2 linked regions of the Neodiprion lecontei genome follow. The protein of the gene in region 1 purifies or fractionates together with the protein of each later gene. This does not show direct contact. Links are inferred from orthologs where the notes say so. Each region holds a gene or a part of one and is shown in the gene's direction. Other genes may lie near its edges.

Region 1 (10,360 bases):
TACCAAACCAATAATATTACATTTCATCAAATCACCTAATAAATTTGTTACATTATACTCAAATGGAAACCCCCTCCTATTTTTATTCCTTACTCGTTAACACAAAGTTCCACTACACGATACGAGCACCATATAAATGTAATACCTAAATGTACGTTCTCATAATATCATGAAACGAGCATACATGCACACATATATTTATATGCATATTTACAATTTTAATTTCAATAGCTGTAGTTATGAACGATATTTAGAGTATTTTGATAAAAGTTGATCGGCCTCATTTTGCGAAACACGGTCTTCTTCGCTAACTGTCGGAATGTTGCTAGTTTCTTCGAACCATCTGATTGCATCTTGATAACGCCCAACTGCTACATAACATTTACCGAGAAGTAATTTGTTATCTTTAAATGGCTTTATCGTCAATTCTTCGGCACGTTCAAAATCAACAATCGCTTCCTCGTAAGTTGCACTTGGAGGTTCTGCGAACAATGTTGACGCAACCTGTATAAAATTGATGAAAAAGTTGCAATTTTTAGGCGACACAATAAAAAAATTTTCCAATCAATAATTTAAAGATTGGAATAATCAACTGAAACAGACAATATATAAAGTCAAACTGACCTTTCTCTCAATCCAGGTTAAGCCAGCAACTTCAAATTTGAACCTTCCCGATAAATGATGAAGTACCGGGTCTTCTGGTCTGATTTCTAATGCTTTGTTGAGATGTTTTTTGAAGCGGTAGCCACCTTCTATTTTTTCTTTAGTAGAAAGAAACATTCCGTGTGATCCTATCAATATTGCATACCACTTGTGAAAGTCTGCGCTGTCTGCTTCTTCAAATCTTTCGCAAGGCTTGAGACCTACGGGGTAATAAAAATTTTATTTGGAGTTGGAATACACGGATACTTCAGAAAAAAAACTAGAGAATATTGCTTCTTAAATCCTTACCTTCGACGATAAGAGCGAGCTTTTTACTTGTCTCCGTAGCATTTGTGGAGCATCTGTGACAAGCTCTTGCCAGCCTCCATATAACTTCAATATTATCTGGATATTTAACAAGTAGATTACGTAGTGTACTAAGAGCCTCTTCACACTCGCTACCTGGACGTAGTTCCGATGCTTCAATTAGTTTGTCTGTTTCAGCGAGCGTTCTGTCCAGTTCGTTTGTTGGTCCTGAGATCCTGCATTACTAAACATATACTTTCTTCTGCTAAACTTTCTATAATTCATGTGGCATATAATCTGTTCTCGGTGAAAATTTGCCACGAAGAAAGCATTTTCACGTTTCTTTAATATATAATGTATCTCATTACCTCTGGTACACATCAATTAATATAAATATCAAACGTTCAATTAAATTGAAGTAATCATAAAATATCAAGTACAATTACAAAATGCATTCGGCGGCATGTATTTCAGATGAAACTAATTAAAAAAAAATAAAAACACACACAAAGTGGGCACTAAAATTGACATATTTATTTATAGTAAATTACTTTACTAGCGTGCATCAATATAAGTATCCATCGAAATCTTTTGGCATTTGAAAATGCTGTGATAATATTAGCGGATAACATTTATCACTGCAAAAGATTTGTTTGTGAAAGGAAAGACTTGCCTTTGTGGTAAGGAGTCCAGTTTGTACTTTCTACTTTGCTTCCTTTTCAGGAAGATTTATTATTCTATGTATTGAAATGGAATATGAGTTATTAGTTTGATTACGATCCATTATTTGGTTGTTAAATTTACAGACCTTTCATTGTCTCCATCGCCTGACTCCATGTCGGAGAAATCAAAGAATTCATCATCGTCAAACTCTGTGTCAGCTGTTGAAAAGGCGTCTACGTCAGTGTCATTATCTGTTGCAGAATAAGTGCTGCTATTTTTAAGATTCGGCTTTCGTCGCGATATTCTTTCTCGATTCCTGCGTTGATTTTGCTGTAATCTAATTAGGCAAGTATGAAATACAAGTGGTAATGACAATAACCTTTCAATCTGTACTTTTTTAATTTTATTGTTAGTTACGTTAAATTAGTTATACGTATTTCAGAGGGCTAGATATAACGTGATTATCGAAATATCTACAACTAAAAGGAGCCTACCTCAAAAGATCCAACTGTGCTTGTAGTTCGGCCATAGTTTCACCCATTTTATCCAAATCTCGTCTGACTCTTTCGGTCTGTTGTTGTTCTCTTATTTTCTGGTACACGAACAGACCCACAGCCCCAATAACGCCAAACGCTGCAGCAACTGCAGTCGCAATCAGTCGCGGAGAGTTTATATCACTCATGGTGCTAAATTGTGGATAAAACATAAAATGTATGATTAATTAAAGAAGTTATGAAATAATCAAAGCAGATATATACAAGGGCATAATTGTACAAAATTATGATATTGCAATTTTTCTATCTGTATGTTTAAACCGCATCACGTGCTTTGAAGTATTCAATGTGATTTTGGGTGGGAAATATTTGTTGGTGTTTCTGTCTATTGTTATACTGTACATTATCACAAAATATAGTTCTAAATTGTGTTTCAATATTACTGGGGAGCTTTTCTCATTCTGACGGACTCTTGGTTCATGGAATACATAAAGAGAACTCACGGCAGTTCACATAACAGATTTGGAAGAAATTTAGACTTTGAACTTCGAACGTGTGTCAAGTGTTTTTTCTTCACACTACGTACAGTTCTTACAGGTACATTAATGCAAAGCGGAAATGTATTCAACCAATCATACGTAAGATTTGAGAGGAAATTTCCACCTTTTCAATATACAGCTCATTGGTTATTTGTATTTCACAATAATTTGTGTAGCTAAGTAATGTGCATTCATAGCAAAGAATCTAATGTTTTCAGTGAACGAGCGGTCTTTTTGAATGTACAGTGATGAAAGATTTACCAATATTTGCTTATCAAATTTGTCAGACAGCAGACTAAAAGAGCGAACACTGTCAAACACTACATTACCTGTACCTACTCTGTGTTTCAAATGGATACTGTAACGTAGTGTCCTCAGTTTAAAGTTCCCTGTGCAACATTGAATGAACTTAATGCAGTGCACAAAATTTTGGCATGTCATTAGTATGGTATTTGACTTATGAGTGTTTCGTCATTAAGTAGAAATTGCGAAATAACGGTATAAACATTGTTTCGACACACGTTTATACGTCCTTGCAATTTCAGCACTGAAATACCTCAATCATTTCGTAGTAAGCTATCCTAATTAACAGGCAACATCGGTGTTTGTAACCCTGTTAAAATGGGAAATAATTTGCCAGGGTTGGAAAAAATAATTTGTTTGTTCGTCGTCTTGTATAGTATAAATTATGAAGAGTGACATGGCAAGTAACATTGAGCTGTAGAACTGGGTCAGATCAATTATAGCGTACGTTACATACGCATGTTTCATTTCGCGAGTATAGGCAAAAATGCTAGTGATAATGCATGTGCTAATTTCACGAAAGGGGAGTATGAATTATTTCTTCAGCAAAGTCGTATCAATCAATGGCAATACAGGCAGGTTTGGGCATGAATAATGGATAAATTAAACGGGTATAAAATAAGTAAACAACTATACTCGTCAACGTACGATTCTCGTTAGTTTTCATCCGACTTTTGGAACTGGTGAATTAACTGTATAATAAAGATAACTGTAGACAGGCCAAAAATTTTGTCATGTTTCTTCTAAATAATAATCAAAATTATCCAGCAGCACACTGCAGCACGCGACTCTTTCACATTACACCTTTACATGGTACATACAACTAGTCGCGTTTTCAGCGAGTCTTAAGAATCGCGTATATACTGTTGTGAATCCCCTCGCACCACACATCAAACTGACATTTTTCTTTCTTATTTTAAAACCAAGGACAATCTATCCAACGCTCAATTTTTGTAAAACACAAAAAGCCCTTTTCGACATGCAGTTGAACGTTTCTGCTTTGCGAAAGAAGCGTGCCGCAACTGTTTTTCACTTCCGCCGGCGGCCCATAGAGGCGTAAAAGTCGCTGGAAAAACAAAAAAGCATCATTCTTGGCGCGTCATATGAATCGAATGACTGATGCATATGATTTACAAAAAAAAATTTGGTTATACTTTCAAACTCATTTACACATTAGCAAGCGATTTCTGGACAGTTGATCGGCTCATAGTTTTCGTGACTACATTTTACTTACTTATGAAATTCGGAAATCGGATTTTGGGCGTCCAACGATCCGTCGATTGCGAACAACGGGACCGGTGGAACAAAACTCGAATCTCGGCCATTTCCGTTAATCCGAGCGTTAATCAAGAATTACGTTGCCGAAAGATATATTGTATATCGTATAGCTTTAGTTTTTAGCCAACGAAAATTATAATGCTAACTGTCCGAACGCCTGTTGGATATCGACGCTGAAAGTATATGAGGATCTGTATTAATTGTTCCAATCATCATCGTAACACGTATACATTGCGGCTACAGTGCGCAGCTCTGACATGACAGAGGTCGCAGTAATCAACATTATTAGGTATCCGAGCGGAACGCCGGATTTTCGAACCGGAAGTGGCAGGCAGTGTCCAGCAGTGTCTTCGTCAGTCTTCATATACCTATCATGGAGTCGTTAGCGTCCGTGCACAATATTCCCTCAAGCTGTCGGTCGTAGTCTGTATTATACGCGTTGAGATTTCAAAAAAGTTGATGACGCTTGTCCAGGGAGTGTTCGCTTGGCGCTATATTTGCAGTATTATTGTAAATAAAGTGTTTGGTAATTTGTGGCCTTAGAACGTTGAAGTGTTTTGTGTACGTCGAAGTGGTGACCTGGGAGTAGGCCTCGACAAATATAATCGTGACGATACTGCAGCAGGTTGGTCTCACTATTTTACCGTATTATGTATATCAATGACCCGACATAAACTTCGATTAAATTCACTACAGTAATCGTCTCTGCCACGAGTTTACTTCACCATTACCGACTAACCTTCAAACATGGTTATTCGATGCCACACATCCCCACTACAATTTTTGCGTCATCATATCCCTAGTGCTTCGAAAGTTGGCACATACACTTTCATCAAAATTTTCGTTGTGGGACGAAACGTTTGTTTCGCTCGCCTCTTCAATTTACTCATTCTTTCACATATCCAACACTTGTCCAATGTATTTTTTCCTTTCTAGTTTTCTCTTACCATAAATACAAGTGTTAGGCACCTGTGCTGGCACTGTTTGCAACACGGGTTTCTACAATTACTGAACACATGTTATTTCGTTATTTCACTCTGTTATTTGAAGTTGAAAATAAATGAAAAAGGAAATGTTTTGCTCCTGTGAAAGTATGTCTTGCATCTTATTTTATTGCTTTGTCAGCACTCTTCTACAATCCATTATCAACTACGAATTTTTATCATCAATTACGGATATTCACAACGATGCAGAACCTACAATTTTTGTAACTATGACTTTTTTAATTTTATTTCAGATATTATCGCAAGGATGGCGTTACTACTGTTAAATGTATTTCGTGACTTTGTTCTATAATATGTCTCGGGATCTGAGTCTAAGAAGAAGAGACCTTGGTTTTAGATAAACTTATTTAAATTATTTCATTTTCCAAACCATCAATATGTCTGTCAATGCTCAATTCGCCAATCCACCCCCGGTGATAAGTTTACCAAACATGTCGGTTCCACCACCCATTGCAACGCCGAATTTATCTGCACCTCCTCCTAATTTAACAACTATAAATACTACGACTGGAGGTTATCAGCACAGATTTGGTACTCACAGAGATGGAAATCGTGGTTTTTTCAAACCATTTCGACCTTATCATGCCCCGAAAGTTATAGCTGGTGGTCAAGATGCGTTACAAGATGAATTCGATGGAAAGAGACTCAGGAAATCTGTGATGCGAAAGACGGTCGACTATAATGCTGCTATTATTAAAACCTTGGAGGTAATAAATTACTCGTATAAACAAATTACTTTGGTTCCTGTTTGTAATTTCATATTTTTTTTATCTCGTCAGAATGTTCAGCTGCTCCTTTGAAGCTTCTAATACCTCTAGCATCTTTCTTCTTCGTGTAGGTGTAGATTAAATTTCCATCTTTTTGTTACTCAGAATCGGGTTTGGCAGCGAGACTACAGAGACAGAAGAGCTCTTCAGCCTGACGTTATATATTATCCTGACCTTCTGCCACCACCAAGCTACGTTGATAATCCAATCAACGCAGTGACAACAAAATTTGTCAAAACAGCAACGAATAAAATGAGGTGTCCAATATTTTGCATGGCTTGGACCCCCGAAGGAAGAAGGCTTGTCACTGGTGCATCGAGTGGCGAATTCACATTATGGAATGGGCTTACTTTTAACTTTGAGACTATTCTACAGGTGGGGATATATCAAGAAAATTTACCACTTTTTTGATAGTCTATTAGTACATGGACCTAATATTCTTGCTCTATGAATCTGTTACAGCCTCTATTCTCGTAAATCGCTATTTTTTTTATCTGTAAAAGATTATGAGATTCGTTAATTCAATGTCCATGTGTATCTGAGTTACAAATATAGTTCTCAGAGGTCATTTTCGTTTATGAAAAAATCTTGGCTTGGTTTTTCATTCTCCTTGTCATGTCAACAAATATCACGATTCTCAGAAAATTGAATTTAAAATGTCAAATAAACAAACTGTCAGTAAGCAAAGATAAGCAACACATCTCTAACTTGGTGTGGCTAATTGAAAATTTGCAAAATATGGTTTAATATTAGCATCTCCTCTTGAGTGTCGAATTAGTCAAAAATGAACCTAATGTGATGGAATAACCTTGTAAAATGTCCCGACAGGGCAGTTAAAAAATAATCATTCATTCTTCCATTTCTTAGGCTCATGACAGCCCTGTACGTACAATGGTTTGGTCCCACAACGAAAGCTGGATGGTGACGGGCGACCACGCAGGCTACGTTAAGTACTGGCAGAGCAACATGAACAACGTCAAGATGTTTCAGGCGCACAAAGAGGCTATTAGAGGACTCAGGTATAGCATCTACCACTCTAGTCCTTACATCTATCGTGACACTGTCCTTCACGGCCGATTAACTTATGTAGCAATCAGGACACAGGACGTGGGTTTCATTTTGATGTATTTTCCATTTAGTAAAACGTTTGAGATCAAGTTACACCTTCTCATTTGGGTACATAGGTGAAGTGTTTTTCTTGTTTCTTTAGTGTGGTCTGTTCTTATCAATGATCTGAGCATTCAGCATTTTTTTTTTAATGCTGTCTCCGTTTGTTTGTACCTTAGATCCAGTGTATCGGCAATCAGGGTGTTAACTAGATCAAATATAGTACTTTGGTTTGTGTATGTGCGTCGAGATTGCTATATCTTATGATTACAAACAACCGTTTTTGAATTTTTTTTTTTTACACCTACGAAGCTGAACTGAGGTGACAGTAGCATATTAAAATCTGGCCAGTATGAAACTCAAAACGTCATTCGAATCTTCCAAGTATTACGAATAATAAACAATCGTATCAATCATGACTTTGTGAGGAACGAGACATTTATCAGGGTCAGGGATTGATTTACAAAAAAAATTCTTTGAATCTGTTCGTATAATTAATTTTGCGTTACATACTAGTAGGTAGTGCTTTGAAAAGATTATTGGGCAGTACGCGAAACACAGGTGAAATCGCAGCATGTATTGAATAGATAGGTTCAATGGATCCTCGATTTTACAGTATAGTTACCTGTTCTGAGAGCCATCGGGATCTTATCTTTGCATGCAATGGACCATATTCAACCATTTTTATCTCAGGCTCAGAAGTTTTGCATATACTGAACAGTTACCGATGTTTTACATTAATTACACACTATAATTTTGTGGTCAAATTTCCACTCAAGAGTTCAAATAGGTTTACGCAAACGAGCTTCCTTTATCTTGCAAACGTATTTCTTTATTCCCAGTCTATCCCTGTAATTATGTTCATTTACTTCAAAGTCTTGTAATATTTCAATGCCGGTGTGTAATTGCGGGAAGAAATTTAAGTAGAAGCGCAATTGGGACCTTATGGCTGTCAGGAATAAAGTTTGTATACAGGATAGGATATTGGGCAAAGATGTATCGTAGAATAAAGAGAAGATGGTAATATTGATAATAATAAAACTAAAGAAAAAATACAGCAGCACCCAGTCGAGATTCCCATCGAATATATAATAAAGAAAAATATCCTAGCTCCCTTCACATCATCCAAAAATATCAATATAAATGAATAAATACTTCACTATATTATCACATATATATTTGCATTAATAAAGAATGATCATTATATATCTTCCTTTGTTTTGTGTTGCTCTTGTCCTTCAGAAAACTGATTATCTTAAATAAAGACAAATTTGGAAAAAAAAATTTATTAATAAAATAATGAAGGAACATTCTGTACACATTAATCGTTTTTTTTTATGAAATAAACGTTAAATTTGAGAAAAAATAAACCTAATTTTCGTACATTCTCCGGTGGTCATGTGGCATCGAAAACACATTGTGTACGTGTGCAAATTGAGCTCAGTTATTGCTCATAAACTGCAGAGTGTATTTTGAGTGCCAGATATGACTGTCGGAGATGGCTTTTTGTTTATTTACAATATTTACATCTAGTTGATCCTTTTATTAGAAAATATACCATGTCCATATTTTGGACTCTGCTGATACATTAACAAGATTTCAGAACAGTGACTTAATAAAGTTCTAAGTTAAGTCAAGAACACTTCCACATACACATTTCCTACCTTTTCTCCACGTGCAGTGCGATATTTACTAATACTTCCTCCATTCAATATCCATTTTTGAGAATATTTCCGATATCTGCATTAATTCATTTCGCTGCGGAATAATTTCAGTAACTTAAGACACTGCAAGAAAATTGAACATAACAATCTATCATTTACAATTGTTCCTATTGCAATGAACTCCAAAATTTAACAAGCCTGACATTCTGATGCTACTTTGGTTGAATAATATAATTTTTCCTCCTATTTCTATCTGAATCTAAATTTCGTTGTATTATTACCTATTTTTTTCATATTTTGTTTCAAATTTTCATTCGAATCGTATCTTATTTATTGACGTTTAAAATCTGAGATGCTGGTCAATTATCATTAAGCGATATTCGGTACAATATCCTGATTGGAGGAATTTTAGTCAAATAATATTCTGCACATTATCATGCAAAGTGAAAAAAAGCAACGAAAAAACATTTCCACATTAAAATTACACAACGCTGATGGGTATCACTTCTCCGTGACTGCTTCACTGCAATTGTCCGAGCCTCCAAGTCGTTTCGAGCTGTGCTATATTTGGGATCTTCACCAGATTGGAGTTGAAATTCTGTCAAATTGCATATTTCAATAAAGAATTAAATACCCCTTGCTTCTTCCTGCTTCTAGTATACTATCATCTGTAAAGAATTAGGAACTAAAAGAATTCGAAAAAAAAAGGAAAAGAAAAGACAACATGATAAATCGAGCAAATAAAGAAACCAAAAACACCAATAACCCAGAAGTTATGTACCATAAACTTTTAGCAGAATAAAGTTGTTAGGTTTTATTTATTTAATCGTTTACTAGTGAATATTACGCTCTGTGGTTGAAAAAATAAGAAAAAAAAAAAAAAAAAATTAACAATAAACCGACAATAATGCTGTATTTTTGGAATATTGAAATAAAGTTAACATTCAAGTATATTACACTTTATTATAATGATAAAAAATGTCAGGGTATTCTTGTTCTTCACTTGGTAATAATTTGGTATTGGTAGTTATTTCGTTATTTTATATCACTATTGAACGTTTGTTTGTTACATTACATATGTGATTTAAAAATAAAGAATTTCTTTTATAAATATGACCATGCATTTGGTGTGTATAACTTTGTTTTTTTGGGTGGGTAGTTTCAGTCCTACGGATCACAAGCTGGCCACTTGCAGTGATGACGGAACCGTCAGAATCTGGGACTTTCTGCGATGTCACGAGGAACGAATTCTCAGGGGTATAAACTTCTTTATATTACAATATATTTGTAATTTGGAAAGAGTAATTAAAACAATAATTATTTGCAAACAATAATGGCTAATTATCATTAATAACGTATTTGTTTTTTTTTTTAAACTTTGTTTCCACGTGTCACATTTGATTGAATTGTCCATATTTTCAAGTATACTCAAAAATCTAGGCAAATGATTTACAACAGTCAATCTTTCGTCTTTTTGATCTTTCAATAAAATAATTTCAGACTATTTATTCTGGTTCAATCCGGATATCGGTAAAATTGCAAACAATTTGAAAAGAATGTCGGAAGACCAATCTTACGACATATAAATGTCTA
Region 2 (11,792 bases), about 16 Mb from region 1:
TTTGGGGTTGCGCGAAAAACGAATTGAAATAATTTATTGTAAACATGAACCAGGAACCACGGAGCGCTTATCCTGGAAGTCGAGAAATTTTATTAGCGGACTGACAGCCACCGAATTTGGGGTTGCGCGAAAAACGAATTGAAATAATTTATTGTAAACATGAACCAGGAACCACGGAGCGCTTATCCTGGAAGTCGAGAAATTTTATTAGCGGACTGACAGCTACCGAATTTGAGGTTGCGCGAAAAACGAATTGAAATAATTTATTGTAAACATGAACCAGGAACCACGGAGCGCTTATCCTGGAAGTCGAGAAATTTTATTAGCGGACTGACAGCCACCGAATTTGGGGTTGCGCGAAAAACGAATTGAAATAATTTATTGTAAACATGAACCAGGAACCACGGAGCGCTTATCCTGGAAGTCGAGTTTCACCGCGTAGCGGACCCGAAGCGCGGGATCCGGGAGGTTGAGAACCCGGTACTCGAAATACGTAGCGGACCTGAAGCGCGGGATCCGGGAGGTTGAGAACCCGGTACTCGAAATTTGCGGAGCGCGACTCTCATGCGTCCGCTCTACTGCGCGGTTGTTTCCAGACTGAGAAATTCGGCTAGCTGATTTTGAATTGGTGACGTCACTTTCTGAACGTCCGACATCCAAACTATGGTTTCGAACTTTGATACTATGTATGATGATGTATGATGTACGATGTATGATGTATGATGTATGAGGTATGGTCATATGATATGATGTATAATGATTTTAGCTTTCACATTTCATACAAGAAATACACACTTTATCTCTCCTGCTGATTCCAGACTCAAGCGGCCAGGCCCTTCGATGGTCAGCCGTTGACTGAAGATATATTCTTCAGTGAACGGGTCGGCTAATAACGCTGCCGTTCTGCGACAGTTGGATGATGAAAAATTTCGCTCGTATCTTTCAAATGTGTGTTAAAATACACTCGAAGTGTTAAGAAGCGTCGTTCTTTCTCTTCCTATCACCTTTCTAGGTCTTTAAACCACTACGCAGCGTTAAATACCGTCTCATATACGAAGCATCCATTTCATCTCGTTCAAAATAAGCGCATCCGTGATGTATTACAGTTACTCTGAATTTTATTCCATCCGAATACTTTTCGAAAAACAATTCTGCTCCTCTACCCAACGCAGATACTTCACTTGCGACCAGCTAAAACAACGTTTCGATTCTATGCCTATGAAAATTCAAGATCGAGAGAGCAAATGAAAAGTTGTTGGAATAATTATGAATACTAATGTTATGGAATACATCGAGCGTGCGCCGAATAGAATCCCATTTCGAAATGAATAATTCTTCTCTTTTCATATCATAGATAATCTGGTAATATAGGTAAATAGGATGGTTGGAGGTGTTCGGAAATGTTAGGAGGTGGTCGGCGCTGGCAGAAGGTGATAGGGGGTGGTCGAAAGTGGCCATTGATGGTCGGAGGTGGCAGGGGGAGGTAGGAGGTGTTCGAAAATGGTAGGACATTTCAAAAGTTAAAGTCGACGATGATCCGATGCATCAATTTTATCGTATATTTGATAAATTATTCCTAAATACATTGAAACATATGTATTTGTAATGAAATATCATGCAATGGGCTGTGTAAACTATAAACTATAATTTCTGTCAAATAGCTGCTTTTATGTCAACAGGGCTTTGAGACTCAGTTCAGTTCGTCCTCCTCCTCGTCCACCTCCGACCACCTCCAACAATCGCCAACCACCTCGAACAACCACCGATAACCACCTCGGGTTGTACCTGGAATAGCAATAAATATTATCAGTATAAGAACACATCAAAAATATTGTGTAAGGATAAATATAATTATTCAATCAATTAATGATATAATAAGATTTATTAGCGTATTTCTATTTACTGAATTTGTGCCTGCGCAAAAATGAATTGAAATAATTTATTGTAAACATGACAAGTTCATAAACTTTCAGATGAAATAGAATCACAATCGCCATTAAATATTATTAAAATATTATACTCACTGTGCAGAATTCCTCTTCCTCCCGTCCGTCTTGTTCTCCTTGTCTTCCTCCTCCGTGTCCTCTCCTTGAAGTCTAGTTTTGCCGGCTGGTCGACCTGGAGCGCAGGAACCACGGAGCGCTTGATCTGGAAGTCGAGTTTCACCAGGTAGCGGGCCTGGAGCATAGAAACTGCGAAGCGCTTGTCCTGGAAGACGAGTTGCACCAGGAAGCGGACCCGCAGCGCAGGATCCAGAAGGTAGAGAACCCGGTACCCGAAATCTGCGGAGCGCGTTTTTCATCCGTCCGCTCTATTGCGCGGTGGTTTCCAGACTGAGGAATTCGGCTAGCTGATTACTCTAGATCGATGACGTCAAGAGAAAAAAAATTTTGTCTGACGTCACTTTCTGAACATCCAAGCATCCAAACTTTGGTTTCGAATTTTAATACTATGCATGATGATGTATGATGTGTGACGTATGATGATATGATATGACGTATAATGATTTTAGTTTTCACATTTCAGACAGAAAATACGCACTTTATCTTTCCTGCCGATTCCAGACTTAAGCGGCTAGGCCCTTCGATGGTCAGCCGTTGACTAAAGATGTATTCTTCCGTTAACGGGTCAGCTATCAACGCCGCCGTTTTTCGACAGTTGGATCATAACACTTTATGCACGTACCTTTCAAATGTATGTTAAAATACACTTGAAGTTGTAAGAAGCTTCGTCCTATCTCTTCCTTGAAAAAAAAAATCACCGACAATCATCCTTTCATGACTTTAAATCAGGACACTGCCTTAAATACTGTCTCATATACGGAGCATCCATTTCATCTCCATCAAATTTAGCGCATCCTTGATGTATCACAGTTACTCTGAATTTTTTTCCATACGAACACTTTTCGAAAAACAATTCTGCTGATCTACCCAACGTAGATACTTCACTTGCGACTAACTAAAACAACGTTGAATGAAAAGTTGTTGCAGTAATTATGAATATCAATGTTATGGAATACGTCGAGCACGTGTCGAATAGAATAATTCTTCTGTTTTTATATTACAGCCGTATAAGTCGCAGTCGACAAGTAGTCTCACGTACTTACTTTGTACCGACCCAATCTCAAGCTTTCATTCCGACACTACTTTGGCTGCTACGAATGTCGTTGCAAGCTCGTTAGGTAGAATCGATAGAGCAGAACCCACATACGCTCTTAGGCCCACCTGGGCCCATTTGCCCCCCGAAAACAGGTCACATAAATTTACTCAAGGGTATCCGTCTTTATGTTCTTCAGTCAACGTGTAGGACTTTTATGCCTCGTATCCGAACATCACAAGTTTTTTTGGTGTAATCTTCGGACGCGACGTTTTGTGGAGATTCAGTTAAGTGACGAATAGTATTAAAATGTATTGAACGTGATTTTGGAAATTCAAAATATAGATTAGATTGCGAGGAATACACTTTTTCTTCTGTTCCGTCGACCCCTTCTTGCTCGGCTCTGAAAATTTATGAAACCTTTACATTTCTGGTAAAAATTCTTTTTCGGAAAGTTGAATGGCGCAGTCGTATGTGATTGGTTGTGTACGAAATAGAAAAATGTTTAATAATTTTCAAGTAAAAATCTAATGCTTTCAAAGCATTAAAAGCCTGCACGATGTTACAGAAGAAATATATGTATAGTGTCTTAGGTATATAATGTATAAGTACAAATATAACAGATATAGAATATAATGCATACATGTATGATCATTGGTTATAGACAACTAGATTGGTCGGATTTCATCCAATGTAAACTTACACCGTAACGTTAACCTATTACAATTTAAATTTATTATTTATCGCGATGGATGTAAAATATTTATTCAGATTCACGTATCCGCTAATATGATCTAAATTTCTAGGGTCTCATATCCTTAGAACATTCAATCCTATTTCCAGTATTTCAAGGCTCCTTTCTCCGCGGGAGACTCACCAGTCTCAAGGGTGGGCCGTAGTTGGTTTCGACGCTGTCGCATGTATCTTGAATTATCAAAGTCCCCGTATCTAAATCGCAAAAAAGGCATAAACGCCCCATTGTACATGAAATTCTGAACAAAACCACCCCAAACACTTTCATTTAATGAAAAAATAAAGAAATGACACAATTTCTACGAATTTACTCTCGCGCATTTGTATGTATTTCTTTTATGACATTTCTTTATTTTTGCATTACTAGGGGCTTCGCTTCTGTGCGCCTCACTATTTCCTTATACAGTGTCTGTTAGACAGGTGAATTTATTTGTGCTGATCTGATGGCAGGTCCGCAACTGTTGATCGGTTGTTTCCTCCAATGCAGCGCCAACCTGATAATACTATTATTATTGGCACATTTTCATCCCTACCATTCCTTCCCCACGTACATCCCTAGATAGCAGCGTCGCGACATGGCTATTTCTAACACTAAAAACTACGGACAGCAAGAGAACCACACCGCTCTGTAGAAAATTGACTTCGTTGCCAGACCTGTATATAAGACCGTGGTACTGACCGTTGCATAGCCGGGGATTGGAAAGATGGCGGATGAAAGCGAGGATCAGTGGTTGTACGGTGATTCGGTAGATGGGAAAGAAGTTTCCTCGGCTCAATCAAGTTTGGAAAACTCAAGAAATGAAGACGCTCCCAACTCATGTCAAGAGTCGTTGGTCTTGGGTGCCCAATTACCTTTTTCTGACGGACCACCAGGAGTAAGCATTTCACCTAACCTATATTTTGACTTATTACATTGCTGTTCATTACTTTGGCCCGTGATGTCGCCAATTAACGTAAATTCAACTAAACTGCTAAATTTCCTGCCATGGCTTCAGTATATCCTTTGTTGAGTCCATTTTTTGACACATCTATTTTTGTAGGTAGTTGGGAACATGTCTGGGTTATAGGTTAGTTGTACTGATTCCTCGCCGTAATCATAGATTTTGATTCATTATCGCATATATTTTACCGTGATATTGCTACCTACGGTGCTTTTCCACTTCCAAAATTCAAAATTCTACAAAACTGATGATATTTTAAGGCAAATCATGAAAACGCCTAAAAGAAGTATTTGTTTCAAGTAATGTACTGTTCTAAAATTAACGTGAAACTTATGGGAAAGTACTCCAAATAATTTGAAAATTAAGAAAAATCTCACAGGATTCTACTTCGGATAATGTTCAAGTGAATCAAGAAAGTTCATTGTTCGATAACATCATTCACAATGAAAGTGAAAGTCAAGAAAAGTTTTTAATTATATCTGTCTTTCAATTATTAAAGCTTATTGTGAATTAAATAAACTGCCAGCTGGTTAATTTAAAATAAATTTGTCAAAATGGTTCATTATGCAATAACAATGTAAAAGGGGATCAACGGATTTCTTCTGAAACCTAGGATGTAACAAGAAAAGAAACGAGTAGCATGGTCGTGGTCCAGTAAGGTCTATTTTCCAAAAGTCCATGGATGAGAAATCAAATTGACCATGATCCCTTTATCCCAATGCTGCGTCATGTTTCATCATTTGTACTTCATGATGAATATTCTATGTTTCCGTGATATTCAAAGAAAGTAAAAGCAACTTAGCCAGCTTATATTCGAAAAGTTGAATCAAGAGAAAATCCCCATTTTTTTTTTATTTTATTCTGTTAATCAGTGCATAGTAATTTACAAATATACTGTACTTGTTTGCAGGTGTCTGAAGACACAGGGCTTCAAGAAAACCATCAAATGGGAGAATTGGAGGCTGAAGTAAGTAATGCGGATAGAGAGAGTAACGAGAATGGAACAAAAGAGATGTCAGGCCAGGAAGATGGAGAAGCAGCAACTGATTCGGATTCAGATGACGATGTGCACGTCGTCATTGGAGACATTAAATCCACTCCGGCGTATAGCAGTCTAAATATAAAGCGCGGTGGAATGCTAACCGCTGCAACCGGTGCCCCAGATAAGTTGAACAAGCAGCCAGGAAAATTCAGCATCGATGAATTTGAAACGATTGGAGTCATCAATGGAATGCCTGCCCACGAATTCAATTTGGATCAGCTTGAAGATAAACCATGGAGGCAGCCTGGAGCAGATATAACAGATTACTTTAATTACGGTTTTAATGAAGAAACATGGCGAGCATATTGTGAAAGGCAAAAACGAATGCGTAGCGAATCTGGGGTTGGGTTGATACTCAACGCTGGAGGAGGAGGAGGCAATAACCCAGGAGGTGGAATCCGGGTGCCGCAAGTAGCAATTACTAACGATAATAGTAAGTATTCAGGGATCATGGGACCCAAGAGGGCAGGTCCACCGCCTGGCCGCAAAATGGCAGGAACTATAGACGTGATTGGAAGCTCTGGATTGGCCTCCAGACGAAACTTAGATAAATCACCACCTAAAGAAAATGTTATTCAAGTAATGACTGCTGATAGAAGGGAATACTCTAGAAAACCTGGTTTTCCTGACATGAGTGTTCCTCCTCCTGGAGCAGGAATGCCACCTCCCTTCGATATGCCTCCGCCAGGATACGCCGGGGAACCACCTCCTTTTTACATTCCGGAAACTGATCCTTATTATCAAAGCTACGAACCTACGCAGGACAGCCAGTGGGGAAATGATCCTGTGAGTAGTTTTTCTTGCTCATGTCGAAATGATATATTACAAAAATTGAATGTTTTTTTTTGTTTAGCAACACTTGCTGAATTGATTCCTTTGTATTAGTTTTCCGATACTAAATACGAATCTGATATCTCTGTTTCAGTTTTCACAAAAACGTTAAATGATATAAATAATTCATTAATACATTCGCATGTGTAATTTTACACAAGCAGAATTTCAAAAAATAATCACCATATATTTATTTGAATTGTTTCAACTATGGAGTTTATCATCAAAAAAATTTAGGAATCATAAATTCAGTAAATGTGATTAGATTGTCTATTCGGTCTAGATAAATAGCTGTGTCACAGAAATTGCCATGTGTAGTTTTGGATTTGAAAAATACAGATATTCAAATGCATAATCCCATTGTATGAGTCTTGCAACAAATGTTTGCAGTATGATATTAAGAATTCGAAATTAGGTATATATTCATGTATTTTTAACAGCTTCTTTGCTGAAACGATAGATAAAGTACATTAATATTTCATAGGTTCGAAATTTTGGTAGTCTTGGCTGTATTCGTTGAAACTATTTTTGGATGATGCTATTTTGACCAAACCAATCATTTTGTGACTTTGCATTTTTGTGAGTAAAAATCTATTAATTACTTTTGATCAAAGAAAAATCACATTCTATCTATATATTGTTCACTTCGATTGAAATAGTGCTCGTACAGTTTCCTTATCTGTTTTAAAAAGATTTTGATGAGTAATACGATGATACCTTATAATAAATACTTGGCAATAGCCATAAGTGGCAACTTTTCGAATTGTGTTATTCACGGTATTTCTCCAAGTTTTTAGTAAAAAGCTGCAATACGAAATGATTTTTCGACAAGTCCTCTTTAAAAAAATCATTTCTTGAAAAATGTTTCCTGTCTAATGTATAATAAAGAAATAGAGTTACATTTTGCTAGCTGTTTTAGTGGATGGTTGAAATTATTTTAAATTTCAGACATGGCAACCAACTAATCTTGCAATTCCATTAACGGAAGGTGAAGAAGACAAAGATGCTGGCCCTAAAACAATTCCTACTATGGTTCCGCCGATAGCAATACCAACTCTTTTACCTCCGAGAGATTCTAGAGAAACGAGAGACAGAGATAGAGATAGGGACAGAGACTCCATGGTGCGAGATAGAGAGAGGGACCGAGAACGTGACAGAGAACGAGAGTCTGTGTCAAGAGATCGGACAAGAGAAAGGGACACGGAGTCTGTCTCGAAGGAGGAAGATAGGGATAGGGACAGGGATAGATCGAGATCTCAACATCGCCACAAAGAAAGGTAATTATTTTACCAGATAGTTTTATTTTCAATCTTTTGTGATTCAGATATTTTTTTTATGCAACATGAAATAAACTTCAACGTCCGCAATGTGGTATTCAGTGTAGATTGTGGATTGCAATATCAAATAATTCAATGTTCCAAATATCGGAAATATTTAAGAAATTTTTAAATACTACAATTATTCATACCTTCCAGGCATAGGCACAGATCAAGATCGCGTTCACGTCGGCACAAATCCAAGTCACGCAGTCCTAGTCGGCGTAAAAAGAAATCCCGTCGATCGGAGCGGGAGCGTTCCAAAGAAGAAAGTGAATAGCCCTGTTGATTTCCAATTAGCTGTATGATTTTATCAATAACACATAATTTGCAAGTGGTTTTTTTTTACTCTTCCATACTGCTTACCGTTTTAATCCATTCTCCTTATCAGTTATTACGGGAAGTACGTGAGTAAGCTGATGTGAAAACCAACGATTTATTATTGTGTATTATACGAGGATATTCTGATAATTTATGTCAGAGTTCAGTCTACATTTTTTTTTGCGCTATAATTTGAATAATTAAAAATATACGAAAATATTCTTGACGCTGAGTTATAGTGAACATTTTGTGAATGAGAGTTACAACAATAAATCTTGATACCACAGAGTGAACTGTACTCTATTTTGTTCTAATTTCCTTCCAAATTTTTTTCATAATGAATGCACATCCAAAATTATAAATCCAGTTCAAGGTAAGTAGTTAAAGTTTATAAAATTGATCACGAGGAACCGTTAAAGCTGAACGTACCTGTTGATACCTCACTGTTTCGAAAGCCGCAGGGTTTCTTTGATTTCTTTGCCTGTAAGAACAATCCACTAACTGCTCTGCTAGAGGAATCCAGCATCTCTGCTGATTGAAAAGCACTGGATACTAGTTCATTCTGGAATTCTAATTAAACACAGTCATTATATGAAGATATTTATATTAAACCCTAATCGAAACTGAGCCTTTTGCTTTGAACTCTAGTAGTTTGATGTACATATTAAGGGGAATGTAAGCATAGTTCATGAAAGTTGCTTTTCATAGGCAAGTGCATGCGAATTTGATTTATACATCTTATATTACTACATCTTACTATGTTAATATTTTCTCATATATACATGTCAAAGATTAGGAAATAAATAATAAAATATACAAAAATACAATCATGTAACTCGGAGCGGTCATTTCACTAATAAAAAATGTGTAGCCTTACTGTTCATCCACTGTTTATACAGAACTGCAATGGAGATTGGACTTGTTTTACAAAAAAAGTAAATGATAATAGCCTTAAGGATAAGAGGTGAAAATTAAAGTCAAAAGATGTGAGTAATTCCCATTCAATGTATGGTTTTATATCATAATGTTATTACAGAAATGGTACTTCATTAATAATTAAGAGTAATTATATTTATCGGTAAATCACTTGCGGTTTAAATCAATGGATCGATCTGTTGTCGAAACAATGTGGATTATCGCACATGCGTCTTTTTCCCAACTACACATTCCATTTCTTTGTTTGTTACTTTTTGCTTCGTTTTTTTTTAAATCTCCAAAACTTCATCATACACAATGGAAAAAAATGTTACATTTGTACAACCATCATATACATGTTACATTTAGATTACCGTTAATTCATTACCATTTTTTAAAATACGCATGTTTACGTGTATGTGTCTGTGTGTGTGTGTGTATGCAAGGTGTTTAGCATGTGTGTAGCTATGAATGAAATGCTGCTAGAATTAAAACAAACTAGCACGACTATACCATGTGTGTTATTGAACTTGAACCGAATTCTAGAAGTGTTTCTATGGATATACAAAATTTATCTCTCAATGAAATATTACTTATTAGGCACTCAGATACTCTAATACCAGATAATTATTAGGAACATTTTTTTCATCTACCCACGACTACAAATATGGGTAGTTGATTCTGGCATAGAATTCTTCTGCTGTTCCAAAAATGTGAATCAAAGTTTAGAAGATTTTAGATAAGCACAAATCAGATGCCAATTCAATTCTTCAATTTAACTATCGATGTACTTCAGAATATTTAAAACGAAATAAGTTCTGTAAACTGATCGCATTGATCTTGTGAATATAATGATACATTAATTTTCAGAAGCTTTTTAAAAATTGGTTTATTCTTTTTCGGTTATTTTGAAGTAAAATATTAAGTGAAATTTAGTATATACATAGTAACGTTCCTTATTCAGATTTTTCAATGTGAACTATCCTGCGTGCAATTAGTTTTGAGCTGAATGGCGAATAGGAGAATAAATAGGATCTAAGATAGGTACTCATTGCGTACAAAAAAGAACTTAACTCAAGCGATGAAACACGACATAATTAATAATTATAACGATTAATTAACTGCATCTACATCGCAATCTGCCTTCGTAGTGCAACAAACGTTATTTAAAACTATGCTGAAGTATTTATAACTTGATTAATGAATTATTTATATCTTCAATAATTATCAGAGGTGATTTTTTAGAATGCTTCCCTGAAGCCCGCAGCACTAAATGACTTTAAAGGGTAACTGATAAGACTGTAACTTCTTGAAGTCTTCCGAGTTAAATGCAGTTGCAACTTTAATGAACAAAATTGAAAAGAAAGAACAAATAATTGAAAGAAAGTTATTCATCACTGAATGCGCCAATGACACAACATGAAAAGTATGCCTAGGCCTTGCTGCTAAGTAACACAGCAAATAATATTGAATAATAATCACAAAATAACTTAAATATGACCAAATCGTAGTAGAAACACTCCAACACTATCCAAGAATGTACAGGAAAAGAATATTTGATTGCATGCCAGTGTTACACTTGAGTATGCACCTTCCGTATTAAGAGTGTTAATAGTTTGTAGAATTGGATATAGAAACATCAGATTCTTAAACTTTTTCCAAATCTGTTTTTTTTCAGGTCTCATGTATTAGAAAATCAACTCGATTATTCTTCTGTATTACTTTGAAAAATTTCATCCAACACTCTTGTCCTCCTGTACACTTCATTCTACCAATTAGTGTCAAAAACAAGAAAATATAAATGAGTGAAAGACCGAAAGATAGGAAACAAAAAAAAAGTAAGACAAACTGAAAAAATGATTACTTAAGGATGGCGTTGTTTAACTTTTTAGCATTTATATCTTGTAAAAACATTAATCTCGCAACGTCTAGTTTCTTTATGCTTTTGGACATTATCTATTTTTGTTGGGTGTTCAAACTTTATGGACCTACCATGTGAGTCAGATAATTAATAGTGGATTTAATGTACTGTTTCTGATTGCTTGTTTTAAAATGTTATGTAATGACATATTTCTACTCACACTACACTGCCTGTTGTAAAAAACATTGTCGAAAATGATTTTTTTTTGTGGCTATTTCATAATCTTTCTACATACTATACACTAATATACAAGTTATTCAATTTTTCATGTATCTGTCCATCCCACTTATCTACTTATTCTTGTCTATTTCAAATATACTGCGTTCAACGACCTTACACTTTTAAATCTTTCCGGTCCGTAATTGTATGCTGCTATAATATCTAACAATTTTTCAAGACGTTTATTTCGTTCCTGTAAGGTCCAACATTTTTCTAAAAGAAATATTAATTCTTTTTGCAGAATGCACATTTGAAACTGAAAAATGGCGGATAACACTTGCAATTAGCAAATATTATGCCGTTGTTAAATTGACGCGTATGTTAGTGCAGTGTAATTTACACATCAACTTACAATTTCGAATGAAATATTATAGAATGTAATTTATTGTAACAGCATACATTAAACCAGTGTACAGTGTTTTTTTAATTACCTCTAA

Evidence for each region. The genes of interacting proteins can lie anywhere in the genome.
Region 2: the proteins of uncharacterized protein LOC107221552 (region 1) and pre-mRNA 3'-end-processing factor FIP1 purify together in Homo sapiens (affinity purification with mass spectrometry; 5 studies listed by BioGRID and IntAct, with this or other methods). This does not show direct contact. The link is inferred for Neodiprion lecontei from reciprocal best matches to the Homo sapiens genes WDR33 and FIP1L1.

Annotation. Positions count from the first base shown.
Region 1 is NC_060263.1:39,486,397-39,496,756, reverse strand, and holds the start of uncharacterized protein LOC107221552, read left to right. Parts: upstream 1-4,569; 5' UTR 4,570-4,850; intron 4,851-5,462; 5' UTR 5,463-5,606; coding exon 5,607-5,936; intron 5,937-6,101; coding exon 6,102-6,371; intron 6,372-6,863; coding exon 6,864-7,015; intron 7,016-9,926; coding exon 9,927-10,024; intron 10,025-10,360. Other genes in the region: regulator of microtubule dynamics protein 1, read right to left, coding at 238-504, 625-863, 952-1,184, 1,757-1,948, 2,106-2,297, 2,549-2,595. UniProt on the Homo sapiens protein: Essential for both cleavage and polyadenylation of pre-mRNA 3' ends.
Region 2 is NC_060263.1:23,863,439-23,875,230, forward strand, and holds pre-mRNA 3'-end-processing factor FIP1, read left to right. Parts: upstream 1-4,498; 5' UTR 4,499-4,553; coding exon 4,554-4,724; intron 4,725-5,700; coding exon 5,701-6,618; intron 6,619-7,611; coding exon 7,612-7,940; intron 7,941-8,138; coding exon 8,139-8,259; 3' UTR 8,260-8,588; downstream 8,589-11,792.